Caenorhabditis elegans: one gene and its partners. The protein of the gene in region 3 interacts with the protein of the main gene of each other region in a pairwise test. Each region holds a gene or a part of one and is shown on either strand. Other genes may lie near its edges.

Region 1 (5,086 bases), on a different chromosome or scaffold from region 3:
ATGCTCGATTGATTGTCTATGCCTACTTGTCAACATGTATTCTTGTTTATGTCTCCTTGTCTATGAATTGAATTGAAAGAATATCGTAAAATTGAAATGTTTTTTTAATTGAAGAATACAAACCGCTCGGCACTTACCTAGAAATTACCAGCATAGGGTCTGCTAAAACTGTAATAAATATGAAAAAATCACCGCGAAATATTTTACCCCAGTTCTTCCTACGTTTTACAAAATTTTCAAGGATTATGGAAATTTGAGGTTGTGCTTTTTCAGAATAAAATGACCTACCGGATTTGATTATTTATGTACTTTTTCAGTCAATGGGTTCACAAATATGATACAATAATGTACTGAATCAACGAATAATAAAATTTAGAAAAATGTTTTATGGCGGGTCAACATTTTGAAAAAAAAGAGCCAAATGTTGCTGAATTGAATTTTCTTCTTTGCAACAGTAGCAGCAGAGATAACTTATCACCCTTTAATGCATATTTTAGTTTTTTATCTCAACTAAATTTGTTGATGTTACAACCTCCAAGCCAATAAGCATTCAATTTTGTTCATTTTCGCGACAAATAAAACTTGACGAAATTTCAGATTTAAGCAAAACTTGATGTTTTGTTTTGAAATTTTTATCCGTCATACAACAGTTTTTGAATTTTTTTGCGAAGTCTAACCAAGAAATTCAATCGTTTTGGGCTAGTTTTAGTCTATAAAAGAAACATAACCACACATTCCACTCAGTAAAAAAAGGTTCGTCCGTTGTGACACTTCGTCCGTTGTGACACAGTTCGCAAAATTTTAGCGTCTAGCGATCCAGAGGAAATATTTTAACTTGGGCCCACAGTTTTTGTTCTGTGTAATTTTCTACGCATGATTTTTCAATTATAGGAGGAATTTGCAATCTTTGAAGTAGTTTTACTTTCAAAGTTTATTGAAAATATGATACTTTGTGCATTGATATTTCTAACACTACTTTTTTAAATAAAAAATTAGAGTTTAATACCGATTATCTTGACTTTCTGGACATAACCTTTGTGTATCAAATAACTTTGTCCGTTCAAGTTCCCCACAACTTCCTTCCCCTCCACATCTACGGCTCACATGGCACCATATAAGTAGGATTAGAGGCCACCAGGGATCACAATATCTTATTACATAAACATTTTTGTTCGTTCAAGAGCACTGTTTATTAGGTAACAAATTTATTGAATATAACAAAGTTTATGGCCGGAAACGGACTTTACAATTATGTTGAGCAATCAAATAACGTGTCGAAATATAGAGATCAATTAAGGAAACCGTGAGTAACATAACATGAGACAATGTTATTGCAAAATTGGATTACTGTTCTCCAATGAAGTTGGATCAATAACTGGGAATGTGCCATAGTTGTAATACTCATGCGAGAACTGATTTGGGAAGTTGGCGACCTGGACCATTTGTGTTTGATATTCCATGAAGTTGGTGTTGTATTGGTTAGCATCTACGTGGCGAAAGTTGCACACATTGTTCGAAATCGGTCCGAATTGACGGCTCTGGTAAGGAGTATATCCTGAAAATTTCAATTGTTTTTCCATGTCTCTATTTTTATGATCTTACTTTGTATTCCCTCCGGAACTGAGCTGCAGCGACGGCGTTGATCTTCGCGAGCCAAAATTCTCTTCACAGTTGCTTCATCCAACTCCTGATTGTGGGCTCTCTCTCGGTAACTGTTCCGAATTCTAATCTCATTCGAGATATTGACACGGAAATCTGAGTGAGTGAGTGGGCGAGATTCGTTGCAATCGGTTTCGAGCTGAAAAAACGTACAAGAGTTAGGAATTTGAAGAAATTTGATATTTGAAACAGTAGATAATTCAAAACACGATCATTTTGACTGATGGTACGAAAAAGTATTACTACAGTTACAAACATTATGATTCGACATACCATCTCATTTCCTCCCAGCAATTTTTTCAAATGATCAATGTACTGCATGGCAAGACGAAGCGTTTTGATCTTTGGCAGCGACTTTCTCTCTTCCGATTTGAGGTATGGAATATGTCTGAAAATAAGATTAAGTTAGCTATTTGTTTAGGGAAAAGAAATGTTAACAACTTACTGCTGAAGAATCTCAAAGGCCGAGTTGATACATTGAGCACGACGATGCTCCTTCTCGCGAGACTTTTCCTTTCTTGACTTCTTGGAATCAGTGGATTCTAATGAAGAAACCGCATTGTTTCCAGCAGTTGTTGATTTGACCATTTTGTAGATGAGCTAGCGATATATCACTGACTTGAATCGGAGGAATGAGGTACGCAAGATGGGTACGGGTGGGCGGAGCAAGAAGACAGACCCCGCAAGGGAGGATAGATGCGGGCAGGAAAGGTTCACGATGGTGGGAGGATCTGTGTAGACTACTATCCGGCCTGGAATATGTTTTTGTTGTTGACATTATACTTATGTTGAGGTGGAGATTTTTTGTATAAAGACAGGCTGTAAAACTGGAATGGCAAGGGGTTGTAAAATTGATGATGTGTATATGTACATGGTTATCCAAAAATGTTCAAAAAAATAGACTTCCGATATTTGACTTTTTAATATGGGTTATCCGTGAAATATGCATGGCATCAGAGTTTGAGGCAAAAATATAAGTATAATTTTTATATTCTCAAATAAAGTAACAGGATTATTCACTTACAATTAGTGCTGCGATGTTTATTGAAACTTATTATCTGACGTCATAAAATTTATTCAAATACTATTGCTACATAAGTTAATATGACTATAAGAAAGTTTTTTTTTGAGTTTAAGATACTTTTCTAAAGAATCCACTAGTATCAACACAGTAAATCACAGTTCAGATACAGTCTACAAATGTTTATGAATTCTCGGTATACGAGTTCCCATCCGGACCATCCCCCGCCATCAAAAACTAGCCGCTTGCCGCCCTGTCTGGGCATCCCGACGCACGGCTTTCGCGCAATCACCCCTCTTCGAAAAGATGCCGACAAACCCGTGCCGGACTCAATTACACTTTGTTTAGATTACAGAGTGAGCCAATTGATATCATACGGTAGAGACATTGGCATTATTGATGCACAGAAATTAAGGGATTTAGTTGTGAATATTTGTTGATTGTGTTCCATTATTTCAAAAAATGCTTATCTACATTTATATTTGATAAAAGCAAGCATTGTTTTCTGACATCTTGCTAAGTAGAGAAAACGCCTTATAATGAAACTGGAAATCAATCTGTGTAGGTGTCTCTATCTTAAAAATTTCCCACGAATTTGGAATATATGTACTAAGTATTTCTTATGCAATCTTTTCAAAAAAAAAACAGTACTAAGAAAAATCCATGAAAACTACCTAGAAAGGCATCCAAGTCTGGTTTGAAAGGTGTTCCTGTATGGAATGTTTGGTACTTATGGGTTTCGTTCACATCAAAAAGTTTTTGCAGTTTTTGAAATGTAACGTGGTTTATTTGGAATTTTAGGCATAGTTATGTTATTTTCTAAATCCTGAAGTAAAAGTAGATATATTCAGTGTTAAAAATGTTTCAAAAACGTTTTTTGGGGGAAAAAAACCTATATGTACAGTTTTTCCTTTCAATTTCACATTTCACATACGGTTACACCGAGTAAATCATCTAATATAAACTAATCACATTTATGCAAGGTTTTATCAGTTTACACTACTCAATTTCCATAGCACAACTTTTTGCCTCAAATTCCAGTCAGTCGGTATTTTGCGTAACTCTGCCGTCAAAACGAGCGCAACCTTTTCCCTCTCATCGCGCGCTACTTCAAGTACGGTGCAATATAAACCGTCATATGCTACTCGGCACCTGTTGATTGCATTCAAATCTAGCCCCGTTAGGATGACTGAAAGAAATCCGCTTCGACTCCTGGGAAATCTTCAAACAGTGTATCAAGTTTACAACCAGGTCGTAAATTTGCCGCTAGTATTGATCATTAAACGGCGGAATAACAGCAGTCAATAAACATTCAAATACTTGTTTGAGTCGCTTTTGAATTATAGCAAAAACTGAGAGGGGGAACCAATTGCTCAAGACTCCAGGCTCAAGGAACTCTCATAAACTTTACGTTTGTAGTTGTAAAACGCAACCGTCTGGCAATGTGTCAGGTAATACTATCCGGTGAGGAGGATTTATTAGTTCATGAGACTCAGAACACCTCTCGACAAGGATGTGTTTGTTTGCTCAACTAATCTTGTGAGAGCAAAAACATGAGAAAATGGAAAATACATCAAAATGATGTGGTTAAATATTTTTGACAATGAATAAAACACTAAAGTTAGAGATATTTTATGATAGTTCTCATGTAAGGGTGAATATTTATACGATTTTAATGAAAATTAAGGCATACATGAGATCTTGAAAGTTTTACAATATGGTTTTTTTATTTGTTAGTATCGCAGTAATATAATGAGCAGACAAAGTACATTAAATTTCTGATTTCCGACCACCGTTCCACTTACAAGCCAGCAAAATTGAAATTTTTGTTGAGCATAGATGTAAATTTTTGAACAATTTTTGAGGCGATCTGCTTAAAATTAAGCTATTCAGAGGTCGAGCACCGACCTAATTTTGCAGCACTACTGTTCAAAACTAACTTGCGAGCGTATTTAACATAATTATTTCTAGTATAGTTTTTTGGTAAGCTGCCAGTTTTAATTATTTTGTTTCCCATAGAATTTGTTCAACTGTTTGCTTAACCGCCGGCAAAACAACACAGACAAACGGTATTATCCAATTAAGGATACGTCCAAATAACATCTGATTACGTCATGATTCTTGTTGCGGCAAAGTTGTGGAACATGTGCCTCTACTCATCGTCAAAAATGTAAACATTGAATCTATTATGATCTGGATTACAATAATTGGCATATCGTTCACCGGAGTGTTAATCTGTTTTGTAGGTGCCGACATTTGTTCCTATTTCTTATAATATGGTAAATTAGGAACAACGAGAGTTGTGGGCATCTTGTCCACAAACTAGAGCTTCAGAATAACATTATCATAAAGCCGCTGCAAAAAAATATAAATTTTTAAAAAATCCATTTATACAATCAACATCTT
Region 2 (6,247 bases), 6.3 Mb from region 3:
TTTTTGTTGCGATATAATTTGTGACGGGTCAATCAAAAAATTTTTATTCATTAAAAACTGTTTACTTTTAGTTTATTGTTTTGTGTTCAGCTGTAAACACATAATCAGGTATCGGTTTAATTAAATGTTTAAGAAAAAATGTTTTTTTATTAAATACTATGTTACAACCGAAGTGATATTGAAGAAGTTGTTAAAAATCACTTTTGTTGTGCTGTGACCAAATATTATAGTAACTTCTGAAACCATTTTTTAAAAAAATGTTTAAAATTACAATTGAAGGGTAGCAATTACTCAGATTTCATTTTTCATAATTTTGGAAGTTCACCGAAAAATAATATTGGATTATTTTAATCACGTTTAAATTTATTTTACTTAAACATTGTATAGGTTGAAAGCACTGTTCCGAATTTCTCAAATAGTCCAGTTCTTGTTTGTGTTGAAAATTTGGCAATTTACCAAGAAGTTAATTGAATTTTTTTTAAAGTTTAACAATTTTCTGTAAACTTCAATTTTTATATTTGGTCATTTTAGACTGATGGGGGATAAACATGAATATCTATATGACTTTTTGGCCGATTTTCGAGATTTTCCTAAACTTACACTTGGGTTATACTTTCATCCATTTTTCACGCATATTTACACACTTATTGAATAAATCTATGTAAAAATATCTAACAATATCCAGAACATGCTAGTGAAACTATTTACTCTCAATTAAAAAAACAAAAACTAACCAAACTAGGTGGTTCTTCACAATGTTTATCAGTCCATTTACCATTGACATGCCTTCGAACATTGTGTCGTTTTGCTGTCGTGCCTATCACTACTCCAAGAATTAAAATGAAAGCTGTACGGAAGCAAATCATGTCGCAATCGACAGAAGAATCAAATAAAAGATATAGGCGAGAAATGACTGTGTCTCTCTGTGTGACCCTTTACCCGATGATGACCTAGTGACATCCACATAAAGTGAAAATTTGGGAGGAGTCGAGGATTCATAAAAATTGAAAGTTTTAGGAAAAGTTCATATTCAGAGTACTTTGTATTATTTTGGATTGTTTTATTTTTAATGGAATCGGGTTGATATAGAATGTTTCAAAATCATCCATTCGATTTTAAAATGAAATTTTGAACTTGATCCTTCTATCTATTTAGTTTCCCCTGCCATTAAACAATAAAAAATAGTTTAATAAAAAATAATTTATAAGGAAAAGATATGCTGATATAACTTTTTTATTTGATACTGATGAGATTCTTTGACTGGAGATTTTCAATTGATTTTGCAATGAGAAGCGCGTTGTCCTTCTGATACCCTCCACTGGTTACCATGCAAATTGGAATTCCTTTTGATTTTGCTAGATTGAACACAACTTCGTCTCGAGCAATTATGCACTGAAAATTTGATTTTCAAAAAAATATGCAACATCTTATTTCAAAATAGACTATACACCAAATACCAAACTCGTATAACAATATTCCTTGCTTTCACACACCTGTGGACTCAATTTCATTGCTCCCAGAGGATCACCAAGTAGACAGTCTGTGCCAGCGTTGAACATAATGAAATCGAAACCAGGAGGAGTAGTTTTCTCTCTATCAATTAAACACTGTGCCAGTTGTTTGCGTAATTCGCTAAATAAAGTCGGTCAGTGAAAGCAGAAAGCCGCTATGAATACTTACGAGAGGTAGGAAGTATCAGTCGTATGACCATTTACATGAACCGCTCTGTTAATAAATTGACGAGCTTCACGATCATGTGGATAGACATATGGATTGAAAACATCAAATACAAACACATTCGGATTGTCAGCAAAGTCTCGTGCATGGCCATTTCCCTTAAAGTATGATTCAAGCAAAAAATTGGATTCTTAAATTTTAATAATTTTTTTAAACAATTAATATTGTGATTAATATTTCGAATTAATATCTAATATTTGAGAAATATCTTTACGGGCTAGACATATTTCATTCACGTTCCAAATGGTTTTCCAAAATGATACCGTAGTCTATAGAATTCTTAACGTAACTGTAAGGTAGCTAAAATTTGAGGACAATTCTAACTTTGAAAGCTCAGATATCGGCCATCTATGATTTTAGGCAAAATACTTCCTTCATGTGATGTCAGACTGTCTCATTGCGGTTTGATCTACAAAACATGCGGGACTTTTTCCCAGAAAAATTGTGACGTCAGCACGTTCTTAACCATTCCAAATCAAATGAGATGTCTGCGTCTCAACTCCCGCATTTTTCGAAGATCAAAGCGGAATGGGATTTTCTGACTACACGTGTTCCTTTGAGTTATATGCTGTCAAAGTTGAGCAGTGAAGGTGCCGCACGCATCAATAGAAAATATACGGTATTTTATATTCTTTCAAATGTTTTTTCCAGTACCTGATGAGCATCTAAATCTACAACAATCGCGTTGGCAATTGCCTTTTTGTCAAACAAATCGAAAATTGCCATGGTGATATCAGCGTAAAAACAGAATCCACCTCCGCCCGAATCTGAAATTATAGGCTGCTGTACAATCCCATAGCGTCTATTTTTCTTGCGGAATAACAAAAACATACGAGAAGCATGATGGAAACCACCACCCACGTTGATCGCCCAACCATGTTTTAGAGCCAAATTGGCAGCTAAAACTGTTCCACCGGCTTGTAAACTGGAAAACACAAATAAATGAATACAACAATTACTAGGAATGATACCGTAGTGGATGCAATAACTTGCTTTCAATAATGCACGGTGGAAGGCAACCGACAAATGGAATCTCGACGATTTGTGCTGCTTTAATAGGATTTCGAACACTTTTCAGATATCTAAAATAATATGAATAAATTTTTTTTATTAGTTGAAATTGTTGAACGCCTCATCTAACTTTTTTTTAGAATGTCAACTATAAACGTTATGAGCTTAATTATTTTCTTTCAATTTAAGTATGGGGCCATACAAACATGATTTTTTCATAAACCAATTCCACGATTCAATCACATTCACAACACTTTCATGTGCCTACTTTCTATCATGTACTCTAGTGAGTTCTTCAAATGTCGGTAGATTTGGCTCAACGAGTGTTTCATCAGTGATCAGATTCATTTCTTTCAAATGTGTAATGACTCTTCTCCATTTCGAAGAATCAAATGGATGTAAATGTTCGATTCCAAATGCAGTTACATTATATTCAGAATGATAGACAATTGGACGTTGATAACTTTTTAAACTAAAGATTTCATCTTTATCTCTGAAATTATTGATATTTTTGGCATTTCCAACTGCATGTTGTACTACAGATTAAATTTCAAAACTCACCGCTCTGCCATTCAAAATCTGCGTAGAATGAGTGGTTAGAGCGGATAAATAAAGAAGTAGTCGTAAAGATTCTGTTTTTCTTGTTTTTGTTATCAGAAAACAGATAACGAATTCTGAAAATAGTGGAAACTGCCAAAAGATGCCAATTGTGGCGAGAGAGCCTGTGGGATGTAGAGTAGGATGAGAAAGGATGGCCTAACTTTTTTATCGGCCATCCGCCGTGTACTTCACCAGGACAAGATGTTTCGTCTTTCAGAAACTCAAATCATCACCAAAGTTTGCAGTTTTTCGAAACAATTAACGGTGGGAAGACGCCGAATTAATTTTATCCGTTTTAAACATTCTTTTTGCTTTTCAAAACATTTTTCTCCTCTTTCTCAAGCTATAATTACTTCTGAATTGGATATTTTAGGAGTGAATCGCTGAACAGCGGATTCGAAGTCTTCAAAAATGGATGAATTACCGGTTAGCATTTTCAAAATTCTTAATGTGCATTCTAATCTTATTTTAGGTACTAAACAGTCTATGCAAAGATCTATATGAGAGTGTCGATCCGCAAGCCCGACACCGAGCCGAGAGTAACCTTGCGGAACTGTCAGAGTCACCCGAATGCCTTCAAAGATGCATGCTTCTCTTTGCACGAGGAGATGTAAGTCGAAATAATAAAAGTGTTAAACAATTTACATAATGATTTTCAGTACCCATACGGACCAATGGTAGCAAGCACCACACTAATGAAACTTCTCGGCGGAAAAACTAGCATCACTTCTGTTCAGAAGCTCGAGCTTGCAAAATATTTATTGGAAATGCTAGGTCAAGGTGCACCTCAATTTCCTCCATATCTCGTCACATCACTTTGCCAACTTTTTGCAAGACTCACGAAACAAGAATGGACGTATCAAAATCCCACAGAAAATCAAACAGAAGACACAAAAATTGAATATCCATTTCGTGATCCGGTTGATAGCCTTGTCAAAACAATCAACATGGATAATATCGAGGAAAGTATGCTGGCCGTGCAACTGTTAACCTTACTCGTTGCTGACATGAATTCAGCTTCGGGAATGGATTCAGTTAACAAACATCGCAAGAATCTTTCGCAGTTCAGGGACGATTTTTTATATGAGATTTTCTCGGTATCTCTGAATGTTTTGAACGATAATGTGGACAGAAATCTGAACGATCGCCAATTGGGTCTTCTTCACGCGGTTCTCAACTTGAATCTCCAATGTCTACTTTTTGATTATATAGGAAGTTTGACAGACGAAACAAGTGAAGACAACTGTAATGTGCAAATCCCAACAGCATGGAGAGCAAGTTTTACTGATGGAAAAATTGTACAGCTTATGTTCAAACTTTTAAATGTGCTTCCACAAGAATCAAGTGAAAAAGTGATGACAATAATAGCTCAATTGGCAAGTATTCGAAGAACGCTTTTCAATGGAACAGAGCGACAGGCTTACGTTCAAAAACTTGTTGAAGGAGTTGTCAGTGTAATTATGAACCCTGGGAAGCTTAGTGACCAGGTAAGAATAATGAAAAATTAAAGGCAAACATATTTATATACCTGATTTAGGCCGCATTCCACGAGTTTTGCCGTTTGATTGCTCGTCTGAAAACAAATTATCAGCTGTGCGAGCTCATCGCTGTTCCCTGCTACAGTCACATGCTAAGGTTACTCGCGGAATTCACTGTACAAAGCCTACGAATGATGGAGTTCTCAGCCAACAGTACATATTTTCTTATGACATTCTGGCAGAGAATGGTGACGTCTGTTCCATATGTTCGAAATAATGATGAGCATCTTCTCAACGTTTATTGTCCAGAAATCATGACAGCATTCGTCGAGAGTCGATTACAACACGTTGAGAGCATTGTCAGAGAAGGAGCTGAGAATCCATTAGATGATCAAGGAGCAACCCTTCAAGTTATGGAACATCTTGCGATTATATGTAGATGCGAATATGAAAACACATGTAAACTTCTCACTCAACACTTTGATCAAAATGCCAACATCTGGATGAATGGATCTGAAAATGTAAGACACTTAGTTGTTTTTTTTTGAAACTTATAATTTGTATTTACAGGATGCCAATACAGCGATTGCCGAAGGTCGTCTCGTTTGGTTGATTACATTGATCGGAACTGCTGTGTTCGGAAAGACGACAGCAACAAGCAGTGATGTTCACGATAAAATGGACGGAGAACTCATTGCCCGATGTATAACAGTTATGAGATTCAATGATAATCGGCTTCAGTTGTCAAATAATACAGTTCCACTGAAAGGAAATCTTCGACTGGAAGTTTCATTTATTCACATGCTTGAGCAATTCCGTCGTGCGTATATCATGGATCAAATCACTCGAGCCAGTGCAGTCTACGACACACTTGAAGCAGAACTGCGTATTACGGAAGAGTCTGACATGCTAGGTGTTATTGTACAAAAGATTCTCACAAATCTGAAATTCTGGCCGTCCAACTCTGATCTCTTGGATCTTTCCCTATCTTTGTTCAAGGATTTATCGCTTGGATATTCTGCAGTTCGAAAGTTATTCCGTTTACCAGAAGTTCAGCTTCTATTGAACAATCACACTGCCGATCATTTCATGTTTCTTGGTCCAAATATTGATTATCAAACAATGAAACAGCGAACGACGTTTTACGAAGCACTAACGCGTCTTTTAACAACGGATTATTCGGACGACGAGGAAATGCTTCAAAGATTCCTTCGTCCTCTTACAGGTAGATTCAATTCCAATTGATTTTCAAATGTACTTTTTTCAGATACAGTTGAAGGAATTTGCACTGTGATCCAGAATAATTGCCAAGGAGTTGAAGAAGAACAATTAAAGGTTATAAAAATGAACGTTTTCAAAACTAAAACAAACTTTTTACAGAAAATTATTACTGGACTGTGTCGAGATCTTCGAGGAGTGGC
Region 3 (6,840 bases):
GTGAGCAGCACGAATACGATGAAGTCGACGATTCGCCCGACTCGACGAGCCTACCGCTTCCATCAGCATCAAGAAGTCGGTCGGTGACTCCTGTGAAGGATATGGCTGCCGGACATGAAGCTGTTCCAGAAGCATCTGATAATAATGAAAAGGGAGATACGGTAAGAAATATATATATATATATATGCTGAAATTAACGATTTCCGTAATGAAACTTCTCGAAAAAATTCAAAAATTTCCTTATAAAACTAGCTAATTTTAGCTTAAAATCTCCAATTTTTCGGGAAAAAAACTTCTAAAATTTTCTTAAAAAACTGGCTAATTTTAGCTTAAAATCTCCAATTTTCTATTTAAAAAAACATTTTTGTACCCAAAATGAAATAAAACAGTGTCAAATTACCGAATATAAATGTTTAAAAATTTATGGAATTTTCCTACATTTATTAAAAATACTTTTTCAGTTTTGCAACAAAAAAATAGGTAGAAAGAGTTGAATTATTTTTTTGTGCAAGTTCCCGCGCAAATGACGTCATTTTCGACATTTTCGATTTTTTACAGAAATTTTTCAGTTAAGAAAATCCTAAAATTGGCCTGAAAATCAATAATTTAACAGTAGAAAAACTTTTTCTTCGGAAAAATTTCCGAAAAAAATTGTGAAATTATGTTTCAAAATGAAAAATTGAAGAAAACCCTATCCGGATTTGCCGGAAATTTTGATTTTTGGCAAATCGCCGGTTTGCCGGAAATTTTCATTTTTGGCAAATTGCCGATTTACCGGAAATTTTGATTTTTGGCAAATTGCCGGTTTGCCGGAAATTTTCATTTTTGGCAAATTGCCGGTTTGCCGGAAATTTTCATTTTCGGTAAATTGCCGGTTTGCCGGAAATTTTGATTTGTGGAAAATTGCCGGTTTTGCCGATTTGCCGGAATTTTTCGTTTTCGGGAAATTGCCGGTTTGCCGGAATTTTTCGTTTTCGGGAAATTGCCGGTTTGCCGGAATTTTTCGTTTTCGGCAAATTGCCGGTGTTCCGATTTGCCGGAAATTTTCAATTCCGGCAATTTCGCCGATTTGCCAGAAAATGTCATTTTCGACAAATTGTCAGTTTGCCGATTTGCCGGAAAAATCGTTTGCCCCCGACCCCTGCTTTGAATTATGAACAAAAACCTTCAATCAACTTTAAAATAGCAATGCAACATTTTGAAATTAAAATTTGCAATCAATTTTTTTTGTCAAAAAATGTTCTAAAAATTGAACTAATTTTGCCAAAAATTTACCCCAAAAATCCCGTAATTTCAGATGACGACTGCATTATCACAGGACGAATTTACGGGATTTCAAAATTCGGAAATACAGAAAGAAGAAGACGATGACGACGATGAGTGGGGAGATTTTGGAGAAGCCGTTGTTGCTGCTGCACCAATTCAGGCGGTAAGAAAAAAAAGTTAAAACTTTATTGCAAAAAAAATACCAAAAAAAAAAAATAATAATAAACGTATATAAATAGGATTAGCATTGAGATTTTTTTTCAAGCGTGTAAATATTTCTGGAAATTAATTTATTAAATTTAAATTTATTCACTTCACAATTTGTGAGCAACAACGCTCGTCGTATCACCGAAAAACAGTTGCCGGGCAAACGCCGAGAAGCCGATATTCTCGAAAAAGTCTGCAATCCACACGGCCTCTTTCGATTCGCACGCCATTTTTGACATGGACGTTCCCATCAGAACCAATCGTGCGAATCTGCAACACGGGGATGAAATTGTGATCTATCAGTGCCGGGGGCTAAAAATTTTGGTAAATTGCCGAACTTTTGGTACATTCTCAAAATTTTAATAAATTGCCAATTTTTTGATAAATTGCCTAAATTTTGGGAAATGTTCAAAATTTTGGTAAATTCTTAAAATTTTGGTAAATTGCCAATTTTTTAATAAATTGCCAAAACTTTTGGAGGCACCACCGAAAGGAGAACATGTGAAAAAGGAGAATTACGAAAAGGAGAACACAAAACCACGCCCATTTTTCCATGCCGCGCGCAAGTTTTTGCAGAAACTTGTGCAAATTTTTATTTTCAAACGAGATAACGCGAAGCTCCGAAAGAACGTATCGCGTGTTGTTTATCACACGAATTCGTTAGTTCGGATCTTCGTTGTCTCGTTTGAAAATAAAAATTTGCACAAGTTTATGCAAAAACTTGCGCTCGGCACGGATAAATAGGCGTGGTTTTGTGTTCTCCTTTTCGTAATTCTCCTTTTTCACATGTTCTCGTTTCCGTGGTGCCTCCCAAAATTGTGAGAATTTTTCCAAAATTTTAGCATTTTACCAAAATGTTGAGAATTTACCAAAATTTTAGCATTTTACCAAAAATTTGAAAATTTAGCAAAATTTAGAGAATTTACCGAAATTTTGGTCAAAGTGTTCCAACTTAGCTTACTTAGCTAGTCCGCAACAAGACACATCAAATTGTGATCTATCAATGTTTGATTTGATCGACAAGCGAGTAATAGATGAATGCATCAAAGGAAGGAAAAACGTGATTTCACCAACCTTTCGATTGCCGTGTCCACGTCGTCTTTCATGGCCATGTAGCCGTATAACTGCTTGGTGATGCGGACTCGTTCGTTGTTCACAAGCTTGCGAGCCGGTAGAGAGATGTCAGCGTCTGGAATCGCATCAAAGTGAAAGTTTGGCTCTTATTGAGATTCCGCCCGGACCTGGATTCAGAAACGTTACCGCTTTGAACGCTGCAAATTCGGTTGCGTCGAGCTGTAGATCACGGAACGGCTTGAGCACGAGATCCAACATTTGATACTTTTTCCTGTTGAGTCCGGCTGGCCTATAACGATTGAACACAACGCGGAACGAGACGGGAATTGGGGCTCGGTTTGGAGTATATGTGACCGACAACTTACCGGGTTGGCTCTGGAGTACGATCGAAGTAGGCACCATCTGGGAATACAATTGTGTCTGGTCCGTAGTCCGGGGAGTTCCAGACTTGAACCAGGACTGGGACTGTTATTGCGGCATGGCGAACAAGTTCGGCCTGGAAAGGATTGAAATAATTAAATCGTTATACATGTTTCTGGTTTTCTTCCAACCTTATCTTGATAATCGAGCGCCTCAAAAACATCGAATGTTTTGGCATACTCTGTCAACAAGAACCAGTCTCTCTCGTGCCAATAGTGGTAGTCGTCGTGATTGACGAATCGTAGATCGAAGATCTGATGTCTCTCACTCGGCTGTCCCCACTTTTCCAAAAAAGCCGTGTCGTTCAGCAGAGCCTTTGAGCATAGAGCCTCGTGGAGAGATCGGATTGGAAGATATTCGGAGAGTCGGAGATCATTTGCACACTTTTCGCGTTCGGCAAGAGTTTGTAGGATGCAGCGACGAGGTTTCAGTGGTGCAGCTTGGAAAAGGAGTGGCGAGATTGGTGGAGGCTGTAATTTGGGATCACGTGGTGTCAGAGTTTCTCATTTCGGCTTGATCTACGTAGATCTATAGAAAATGCGGGAAAAGAGACGCAGAGTTCTCAACTGATTTTGCATGGTTGAGAACGTGCTGACGTCACACATTTTTTGGGCAAAAAAATTCTCGCATTTTTTGTAGATCAAACCGTAATTGGACTAATTAATTACCGATAGCTGTAATGGAGACACTGATGGTGGGGTGCTTGCTCCTTCGTCACTTGAACAGTCCGAGGTAGTCTTCAGCTCTTTTTTTGGACGCCTGGTACGTTTTGTGTATCCGATAGGGTCACGGTTTTGTTGGAGGGCGTTTCGGTCCATTCCCACGCTCAAACATTTCTCGAATCGGCAGTATCGGCAGGCACAGCGGATAGCTGAACTTTTGAAATATTTTTTATAAGTTCCTTGTTACTGCTAACAAGTGGTGTCAGAGTGTCCCATTTCGTTTTGATCTACGAGAATTGCGGAACTGATTCCGCATGGTTAAGAACGTGCTGACGTCACATTTTTTGGGCGAAAAATCCCCGCATTTCTTGTAGATCAAACCGAAATGGGACAGCCTGACACCAAGTGTGCTAAATAACTCACTTTTATCAACTGGACAATTGCCCTCGAATTGGCAAATGTACTTTTGTTTCTTCATAATTGTTCGCCGGAAAAATGTCTTGCATCCGACACATGACGGGACACCATAATGGTAGCCAGAAGCGAAATCTTGACAAACGAGACAAACGTGATCACGAGACGAGCTCGGAGACGATTGAGGTGTCATTTTGACCTGAAATACGCCTTGTTTGTATTGGTTTTTTTTGTGACAACGAGAATAATGCCAAGAGACACTAGACACGATAACAAATGCAAAGTGCCCCCGAATCGATGCGTTTTAGAGATAAAATGAAGGAGAAGAGGAGAGGTAAACTACAACAATTGAACTGTGATGTGAGACAGGCTAGGGACAGCTGTTGCAAAAAAACATTTGAACTTTTGATTTCTAATCATTTGAGCAAACTTTTTTTGAAACAATGATTTGCTGGGTGGTTTTGGAAGTTTTTTTGGAAAGAAATCAAGTCCTTGATGAAGTGACTCGGAAAAACGGGCGGTCAAATGATTGTTCATTATCAACATATTAACAGGCTGCCTAAGAAATGAGAATAGAAGACCTTGAGATGTATATTCTATATATGTCTGATATCAACGTGAAGATCGAACTGTCTTGCAATAAAACACAGTGGCTTGGGGCCTGCTGCTGACCAGCAGCTTCATCGCGTCCTCATGTATTTTTCACACTACCCCCTCCTCCTCTCAATTTCCGATCGTCCCCGTCGTCATACGACAAAGATTTGGGACGTTATCGCTGCCCGTTATATACGATTCTTCTTGACCAATGAACAAAGTACATGCGATGGGGGGGGGGGGGGGGGTGGAGCCTCTCTTGGAAAATGCCACGAGAAAACCACGCCATGTAATGTTGAAGAAGGGAAGATTTGATAAAGAAAGAAGTCTGCACCTACCTACTATGTGAGAAGACTTTTGTACACACAGACTGTAGCAGCAGCAGCAGAAGAAGAAGCTACACGTGGTGGCAGAGTGTCTCATTTTGGATTGATCTACGTTGATCTACAAAAAATGCGGGTGAGAAGAAACGCAGAGTTCTCAACTGTTTTCGGATGGTTAAAAACGTACTGACGTCACACATTTTTTTGGGCGAAAATTTCCGCATTTTTTGTAGATCAAACCGTAATGGGACCGTCTGGCACTACGTGAGCTAATCAATTTGTCTATGATACAGGAGACATGAAGAATGAGAAAGTTGCATTGTTAGTTGCTGAGAAATAGGCGAAAATTCGTCCTATTAGATGTTTTGGTCATTTGATTGCTGATAAGACACTGATAAGTGCTAATCAATTTAAGAATTAGTTGTTGGTAAATTTAACCATCTTATGATTAAAATAAAAACATCAATATTTGTACAAAAAATTCTGAGAATGCGTATTGCATAACATATTTGACGCGCAAAACATCTCGTAGCGAAAAAGAAGACTACAGTAATCGTTTAAATGACTTCTGTAGTGCTTCTGTGTCGATTTACGAGCTCGATTTTTGAAATGAATTCTTCTTTTCGAATATTGCCGGTCCAGAGAATGAGGAAAGTTGAATGGACACAGATATTCCGGAACCCAAGGTTGCGGGAAGAGCCGATTTGTATGGATTTACGGAGAGTTTGTGAATAAAAACACTCCGTAAATCGACAAAAATCGTCTCTTCCCGCGCCCCGCCCCTTGGGTTCCGGAATGTCTGTGTCCATTCAACTATCTACACTCTCTGTACCGGTAATATTTGAAAAGAAGAATTTAATTAAAGAATCGATCTCCCGTAAATCGACACAAAAGCACTACAGTAGCCATTTAAACGATTACTGTAGTTTTCTTTTTCGCTGCGAGATATTTTGCGCGGCAAATGTGTTGCACAATACGCAGCATTCTCAGAATTTTTTTTTTCGATGTCAGCGTGGCGAGACCCATGCGCGCAGGATACGCCGAAAATGCTTTTATTCAGACTTCAAAGCGACTTTTTGCAAAAATCCAAAATTGTCCTAAATTTCTTTAAAAAATCACAAACAAAATGAAAAAAAAATCGCGGAAGATTGCAAAAATCCAACTTCACGTAGTGTCAGAAAGTCTCATTGCGGTTTGATCTACAAAAAATGCGCGATTTTTTTCCCAGAAAAATTGTGACGTCAGCACACTCTTAACCATGCGAAATCAGTTGAGATGTCTGCGTCTCACCTCCCGCATTTTTTGTAGATCAAAGCGAAATGGGACTTTCTGACCCCACGTGCAACTTTTTAAAACAAAATTTCATATCCAAAATGAAAGTTTCGACCAAAATATGTTTCCTTTTTCAGAGACCTCAATCGCCGCCTCCATCGTTGAAAATGGATGGTTTCAATAACGAAGACGACGATGATGATGACGATTGGGGAGCATTTGATCAGGCTCGGCCTTCAACAGATCGGACTGAAAGTAGCCCGAATTCGTCTCGATCTCAGGAAGCGCGCCACCAACAATCGCTGGATGAATGGGGAGCATTTGAGAATTCGAACGATTTGAAAGCAAATGGTGATGAATGGCAAGCTGAATTCAGTTCAGCTTCGGATGTTCCACCACCACCTTCGGATACTGTACTAGAAAATTTGGAGCTCCTGGATGAAATGCTCGAGAATGTCGAATTTTGGCATGACGGATTTCAAGAAGAATGTCGTGAAGAAGAGGAGTCACCTGAAATGGATGTAGTCGATATTCCGGCTCTTTTCGATTCGGAGAATCTTGTAGAAATGGTGAATAGCTTTGAAGTGGAAAGGCAACGAGATTCACGA

Evidence for each region.
Region 1: the proteins of nhr-114 (region 3) and hnd-1 interact in a two-hybrid assay, tested with the Caenorhabditis elegans proteins (one large-scale study listed by BioGRID).
Region 2: the proteins of nhr-114 (region 3) and hda-11 interact in a two-hybrid assay, tested with the Caenorhabditis elegans proteins (one large-scale study listed by BioGRID).

The regions. Positions count from the first base shown.
Region 1 is NC_003284.9:11,681,888-11,686,973, reverse strand, and holds hnd-1 (Hand transcription factor 1), read right to left. Parts: upstream 2,414-5,086; 5' UTR 2,248-2,413; coding exon 2,105-2,247; intron 2,048-2,104; coding exon 1,933-2,047; intron 1,799-1,932; coding exon 1,603-1,798; intron 1,556-1,602; coding exon 1,329-1,555; 3' UTR 1,186-1,328; downstream 1-1,185. UniProt on the Caenorhabditis elegans protein: Probable transcription factor which regulates early embryonic myogenesis, in cooperation with transcription factors unc-120 and hlh-1.
Region 2 is NC_003283.11:10,523,383-10,529,629, reverse strand, and holds hda-11 (Histone deacetylase 11), read right to left. Parts: upstream 3,447-6,247; 5' UTR 3,321-3,446; coding exon 3,310-3,320; intron 3,242-3,309; coding exon 3,017-3,241; intron 2,820-3,016; coding exon 2,709-2,819; intron 2,663-2,708; coding exon 2,571-2,662; intron 2,505-2,570; coding exon 2,392-2,504; intron 1,836-2,391; coding exon 1,681-1,835; intron 1,633-1,680; coding exon 1,494-1,632; intron 1,393-1,493; coding exon 1,234-1,392; 3' UTR 1,186-1,233; downstream 1-1,185. Other genes in the region: F25D1.3 (Interleukin-17), read right to left, coding at 735-866; xpo-7 (Exportin-7), read left to right, coding at 3,760-3,774, 3,821-3,958, 4,008-4,835, 4,886-5,347, 5,397-6,051, 6,094-6,161, 6,207-6,247.
Region 3 is NC_003283.11:4,184,605-4,191,444, reverse strand, and holds nhr-114 (Nuclear hormone receptor 114), read right to left. Parts: upstream 4,243-6,840; 5' UTR 4,237-4,242; coding exon 4,053-4,236; intron 3,839-4,052; coding exon 3,636-3,838; intron 3,438-3,635; coding exon 3,099-3,437; intron 3,044-3,098; coding exon 2,913-3,043; intron 2,837-2,912; coding exon 2,715-2,836; intron 2,663-2,714; coding exon 2,548-2,662; exon of another isoform or gene 2,435-2,547; intron 1,744-2,434; coding exon 1,581-1,743; 3' UTR 1,441-1,580; downstream 1-1,440. Other genes in the region: Y45G5AM.9 (Aftiphilin clathrin-binding box domain-containing protein), read left to right, coding at 1-161, 1,298-1,429, 6,370-6,840. UniProt on the Caenorhabditis elegans protein: Probable transcription factor which may have a role in detoxifying dietary metabolites arising from bacterial tryptophan metabolism.